2 linked regions of the Mus musculus genome follow. The protein of the gene in region 2 binds, or shares a complex with, the protein of the main gene of each other region. Links are inferred from orthologs where the notes say so. Each region holds a gene or a part of one and is shown on either strand. Other genes may lie near its edges.

What was found. The genes of interacting proteins can lie anywhere in the genome.
Region 1: Gtf2f1 (region 2) and Polr2d share a complex: the UniProt entries of both Homo sapiens proteins name them as parts of the TBP-based Pol II pre-initiation complex. The link is inferred for Mus musculus from reciprocal best matches to the Homo sapiens genes GTF2F1 and POLR2D.

The regions. Positions count from the first base shown.
Region 1 is NC_000084.6:31,794,638-31,797,248, forward strand, and holds the end of Polr2d (DNA-directed RNA polymerase II subunit RPB4), read left to right. Parts: intron 1-650; coding exon 651-746; intron 747-1,412; coding exon 1,413-1,491; 3' UTR 1,492-2,072; downstream 2,073-2,611. UniProt on the Homo sapiens protein: Core component of RNA polymerase II (Pol II), a DNA-dependent RNA polymerase which synthesizes mRNA precursors and many functional non-coding RNAs using the four ribonucleoside triphosphates as substrates.
Region 2 is NC_000083.6:57,008,452-57,012,474, reverse strand, and holds the start of Gtf2f1 (general transcription factor IIF subunit 1), read left to right. Parts: upstream 1-1,186; 5' UTR 1,187-1,354; coding exon 1,355-1,366; intron 1,367-1,452; coding exon 1,453-1,499; intron 1,500-2,714; coding exon 2,715-2,787; intron 2,788-4,023. UniProt on the Homo sapiens protein: TFIIF is a general transcription initiation factor that binds to RNA polymerase II and helps to recruit it to the initiation complex in collaboration with TFIIB. It promotes transcription elongation.

The DNA of each region.
Region 1 (2,611 bases), on a different chromosome or scaffold from region 2:
TGTTGTGAGCCATCGTGTGGGTACTGTGAACTCAACCTGTGACCTCTAAAAAGAGCATCACTTAACTCCCGAGTTCCCTCTCCAATGCAGCGTGTATATGCCGCCTTACCCTGCTGGGCTCTTTTCAGGGTTCTTGGCTCTGCCTGCTGTTTTTCATTTGTTTTTTTGTTTTTGTTTTTGTTTTGTTTTTTGTTTTTTTCTGGAACTTGTTGATTTTCTGGGGTAGGAACAGGAAGTGACTTCAAAGGAGGATTCTGATGCCCACATAACCATAATCAAATATTACAATCTCCTTTTTGCTATTGATGAATGATTAGCATTTGACCGACACTGAATGAGAACATAATTTTTTTTGTTTTTTGAGACAGGGTTTCTCTGCGTAGCCCTGGCCGTCCTGGAACTCACTTTGTAGACCAGGCTGGCCTCAAACTGAGAAATCCACCTGCCTCTGCCTCCCAAGTGCTGGGATTAAAGGCGTGCAATACCACGCCCGGCCTAATTTTTGTTTTTTATTAGCATATAACTACACATAGTAATGGGTCCCACTGTGACATTTTTATTCAAGTATATATTTTGATCATACTTATTTCCCCCCATTACTGCTCACTTCATCACAGTCTTTCTGTGTTTTTATTTTCCGCTACAATCAGCTTGCTTCTCCAGAAAAAGTTACATAAGTTTGAGTTGGCCTGTTTAGCCAATCTTTGCCCGGAGACTGCTGAAGAGTCCAAAGCTCTGATTCCAAGGTTAGTACCGGATGGGATAGATTTCTGTCTATTTTCTATAGATTTCTATAAGTCAAATTGCTAGAACTAAAAGTTGTATGCATTTAATATTTGGGTTAATGACATGGCAGCATTGAATAGGAATGTAGTTGAATGGTGTTTGAGATAGGATTTGGGGATTGGTTTTGTGGTTTGTTGGTGGTAGTCTCAGGTAACCAAGGCTTTCCTTGAACATCTTGATTGTCTTGCTTTCACCTGTCAAGGGCTGGGATTACAGGTGTAAATGGTCATGCTGGCTTAAGAATAGTTTGAGTTGCTGGGCAGTGGTGGCGCACGCCTTTAATCCCAGCACTCGGGAGGCAGAGGCAGGCGGATTTCTGAGTTTGAGGCCAGCCTGGTCTACAGAGTGAGTTCCAGGACAGCCAGCCAGGCTACACAGAGAAACCCTGTCTCGAAAAAAACAAAACAAAACAAAATTAAATTTACATCATGTGTGACTGTTGAAGCTTTTAAAAATCTTTTTTCTATTTACAACTTTTTAGTGCTTATATAAAGGAATGTCAAAAACCATTCAGTTTAAACTTCGAGGCAGTAGAGCTAAGCGAGCTGCTCGGAGATGAGCCTCCTTTGACAGACTGGGGAAACCTCCAGCGGCCAAGTCACTTACATTTCTTGGTTTTCTTACAGCCTGGAAGGGCGTTTTGAAGATGAGGAGCTGCAGCAGATTCTCGATGACATCCAGACGAAGCGCAGCTTCCAGTACTGATCCGCAGACGTCACTCTGCTCCTTGAGTTACAGCACCACGGTCTGAAGCCTGGGGAGGCCTCATGCAGGAACATTGCTTCAGAAGACGCTGGAGCTTCTTTCGTAGTTTTTGCTTCACTGCGAGAGAGTGTCTCTCCAGTTCTCAAAGTCATAACAGTCCTCCTGCCTCAGCCTCGCAGGTGCTGGGATTACAGGTGTGAGCCAACACTTTCAGCTTGGCTTCTGGAGAGGAAAGAAAGGCTGGCTATTGATGCTGTAGGTGCTATCTTCACAGTGACTGTTAGACCATAACTACCATCTGCGCTCCTTGCAGCCTTTTAAGGCTGCTGTGGTCAGGCAGGCTGCCATCCTGAACTGCTGAGGTAGAATGATGTTCAAACATTCGTTGACTACTTCGTACCGTGGTTTTTTTGGACCCCATGTTACTATTTTTTTGTTCTTGACACTTCAGATTTTAATGTCAATTATTTTGTAGTTTTTGAAGCTAAAATGATATATAAAAAACTTGCATAGGAGAGGAGTGTTTTCACTTGGTTGTAAAGGGGAGAAATAAACCAGAACACTGTTTTTTTTTAAAAGAATTGTATTTATTTGTTAATGGGGAGAGGGTACATGATCCATGGCACATGTGTGGGGGGCAGGAGTCAGTTCTGTCCAAAGTCTTGTACATACTAGAAAAGTGCTGTACCATTGAGCAACACTCTAGCCCAGAAGTTGCTTTTGTTTGTTTGTGTGTTGTACATATGTATGTGCAAGTGTGTGCATCTATGTAAGGAGACTAGCAGAGGACATTGGGTGTATACCCATATTTCTGTCCTTTGAAATGGGCTCTGTCTCACTGAACCTATATCTAGGCTGGATGACCAAAAGCCCCAACAATCCTGTCTTCACTTTCTCTTTTTGCTTGTACCTTGGGGTTCAAGGCATGTACAGTGGGAACACAGCAGTCTTTTCACTAACGGTAGTGCTAATGGACAGACTCAGGTCTTCATGCATAGCACATACCCTTATTCACTGAGCCAGTCCCCAGCCACCCTGCAATGTTTAAAGAGTGAGAGACAGTTGACTAAAAGAACTTTGCCACCACTCTGCCTGCCCTGGACACAGGATGGAAACTCAC
Region 2 (4,023 bases):
CTTAGTGACTCCATCACCCCATTTTACAGATAAAGAAGAGGGCCCTCAAACTCACCCAGTAGCACCCTGCTCCGCCCACCATGCGGTCCTTTCTATGCTGCCTGCTTGTGCCTCTAGTCACACAACCTCTGAGTTGGGATAAGACCTCTCTGCCCTTTCCTCTCCTCCGCAGTCAGCCCTCGTTCTTTGTCCCTTTCAGTTCACTTTGGTCTTCCTAGCCAGCCTCTGTAACTTAAGGCGCACTCCCTGAAGGCGGAGAAATGAATGCCTCCCCTACTAGACACATCTGTGGAGTCAGTTGTTTATGCAAAGACAGTCATGGAATCAGCCTATCTCATTCCTCTCAAGTTCAATGCCTGTGCCTCCCTTGCCCCTCTGCTTAACCAACTCCTTTGCATCCCGTAGGCTCCCTTTCTCTGATTTGTCCCCAGAGAATAGTACTTTCCATTTCCGACACTGGCTCCTCTACTCAAGTTATATGCCAAAGGCATCAACCAACAGTGAGGTGGGAGCATGCGCAGATGCGTTCCTTCCGTGCAGGGGTTGGTGTACACCCCCAGGTAGTGGGGATACTTGCCCATCTCCCCCTTTCGTTGGCCCATGTAAACCAACCACCCCACGTCGTTACCCTTCTCCTGGGGCCTCAAAGCTCTGCCCAGCTGGGGCAGCGTGGACTCGCACAGACCCATCCCGCCCGCAATGCCGGGGTACGCTGGGGCCCTGTCTCCACCCTGCACCGAGTCCCCGGCTCCGCTCTACGTCACAAGGGACTCATTTTGCAAGATCCTCGGGATCCCCATATCCCAGGACACAGAAAACTGAACCTCAGACCCGCCCCAGAAGAGCCGAAGAAGCCACCCCACAGAGTGGGCCTCGGTTGCCATGGCAACTCGGCCTCCGTTCCCGCTTCTTGGACACATTTACGCTTGCGCAAGAGGATCGAGTTCGCGTCTACCAGGAGACTCCATTTCCACCCTACCCAGGATGCTCCGCGGTGCCTGCGTCGTGACGTCACGACGGGCGTGTCTACACGTGACTTTTCCGTGGTATATAAACAGAGAACGCCGCCAAAAGGTGGCTTTCTCTCCGAAGCTGGTGATCTAGAGTAGTTACAGCGGCTGCGCTCTTCTCGGTGTGGCAGCTCAACTTCCGGGTCAGGCTCTAACGCATGCGCAGAGAGTTAGGTCTCTTTTTCTCGTCTTCCAGCATTCTCCGAGACTTAAGGATTTGGAAATCCAAAGCACAGCATCACACTAACGTGACAACCAGGAAAGGTGCCTTCCCTTTCCTGGAGCCGAGGGACACAACGAAGTTCATCCCGTCAGGCCGACCGGGAGCAGCTTGAGCAACGGCCATGGCGGCTCTAGTGAGTATGAATGAGGTGGGGACAGAGGTGTCGCAGAACAGACCCCGCGCCCTCTCCTCGCCTTACAGACCCCTGCTCTCTTGCAGGGCTCCAGCAGCCAGAATGTCACCGAGTACGTCGTCCGAGTCCCCAAGTAAGTCCCCGTCCACCCACACTCCAGAACCTCGGCCCTGTGTTCCCCTGCCACCCCGTCCAAGACACAGTAACAGTTACCCCTTGGTAGTTAATGTCAGGGGTCGGTGACTTTGCCCTGAGTCAGACGGGTCAGGTCAGACATGGTGACTGCCTTTAATCTCAGCACTTGGGAAGCAGATGTAAGAGAATTTCTGTGAGTTCGCAGCCAGCCAGGTCTGTATAGTGAGTTCCAGGACAGCCAGGGCTACATAGTCGGGTCCTGTCCCAAAATAAAAGAAAACCCCAAACTGGTCACAGGTGGTATACATCCTGTTTTTTTGTGCCAAGTGCCATGTCCCTCAACTTCTAACTTTATTTTAGGTGGGTACATGCTAGGCAAGTACTCCACCACCGAGCCACACCCAGCCCCCTCTTAAGTTTTGTTTATTTTGAAGACAAGAGTCTTACTGTGTAGTTCAGATGGTTTGATCAGGCTGGCTTTGAACCCACTCAGATCCATTAAGACCCTTGCCTGCCTGCCCTTCTTTCTACATAGGGGTCCTCCGCACTTTTGGTTCCTTTTTTCTTTTTTTCTCTTTTGGTTTTTCGAGACAGGGTTTCTCTGTGTAGCCCTGGCTGTCCTGGAACTCACCTTGTAGACCAGGCTGGCCTCGAACTCAGAAATCCACCTGCCTCTGCCTCCCAAGTGCTGGGATTAAAGGCATGTGCCAACTCTGCCTGGTGGTCCCTTTGTTTCTTGAAGATTTAATTTATTATCTATGTGTATGAATGTTCTCTCTTGTCTCTCCTCTCTCACTCTCGCTCTTGCTCTCGCTCTCACTCTTTCTGTATGTGATGCTGTAAGAGAGCCTAGTGTCTGTGGATCTTTATCTGATGGGGTTGGGTTGGATGAGATGGATCTTGATTCTTTAAAACAAAACAAAACAAAACCCCTGAAAAACTAGAGCGTGGTTCTCAACTTGCAGGTTGCCTAAGACCATCGGAAAACACAGATATTTACATGACCATTTATAGCTTACAGTTGTGAACTAAACAAAAATAATTTTATGATTGGGTCACCGCAGCATGAGGAGATGTATTAGAGGGTCAGAGCTTTAGAACCATTGCTCTGGAGTCTTTTATGAGTTCCCAGAATTACCTACAACCAAGGGTGTAAAGCATAGATTTGTTGAATGAATAATCAATAGATTGAATAGTTTCTTGCCCATTCCAGGAACACAGCCAAAAGATACAACATAATGGCTTTTAATGCAGCCGATAAAGTCAACTTTGCTACCTGGAACCAGGTAAGTGGGTGATTCTGGGTGGCTGGGGCAGGGACCTAACCCTGGGCTGGTGACTATGTATAGTAATAACTTTACTGAAACGATGGTGCCCACACCTGTGGCTCCAGCAGATTTGTGATTCCAGCCATTTGGTGGCTGAGGCAGAAAGACTGAGTGTTTTAGACCAGCTTGTGCTACATAAATCCTAGCTCCAAAGAAAAGAAGTGCAAAGCAAAGCAAAGCATGTCAGAGGATGTGGTTCAGTCAGTAGAGCACGAATCTAGCATATATGAGGCCAAGCTGGATCCCCAGCGCCATGTATACTAGCCATGGTGGCACACGCCTGTCATCCCAGCACGGGAAGGGGGTAGGACCTCAAACTGAAGATGATCCTTGCCTGCACAGTAAAGCCCACGATACATATAGACGGTGTCTTTTTTTTTTTTTTTAATGGTTTTTCAAGACGGGGTTTCTCTGTGTAGCCCTGGCTGTCCTGAAACTCACTTTGTAGATCAGGCTGGCCTCCAACTCAGAAATCCACCTGCCTCTGCCTCCCAAGTGTTGGGATTAAAGGTGTGCGCCACCACTTGCCAGCCACAGACCATGTCTTAAAAAAGTAAAGTAGTGGGTAGCAAGATAACTCAGTGAGCAAAGAGGTGGCTCCAAGTGTGTCCTTGGATCTCATACAGGCAATGTCATGTACAACCTCCACAAAAAGAAATACACTTTAAAAGTTTGGGGTTTTTGTTTTTAAGAAAAAGCCAGCTGGCCGTAGTGGCACATACCTTTACTGCCAGTTCGAAAGCAGCAGAGTCAGTGGATCTCAGACTTCAAGGCCAGCCTGGTCTGCATGGTGAATTTCACTGTAGTGAGACCCTGTCTCAAAAGGATAAAATGATTCCACAAGATGGGTATAGCCAGAGATACTACTATCCCAGCACCAGGGAGGTAGAGGCAGGAGGATCATAAGTTTGAAGCCAGCCTGGGCTACATAACAGGACTTTCTAGATAATACTAAGAATAAAAAAAAAATGTTAAAGGCCAAAGTTTTAAACTATCCACTCTTTTGGGTGCCATGTTAAAATGTCACTATCTTCATATTGTTGAGGTTGCTCCTGGGCCTTCCTCAGGTGGTCACTATACATCTTTAGTCTCTGTACTCCATGATCTCATGAACCAGTCTGCTTTACTGTTATTGTAGTAAGTCCCACATTCCCTGTGACCAGAGTATTCTGTGTGTGTGATGTTTGTATGCAT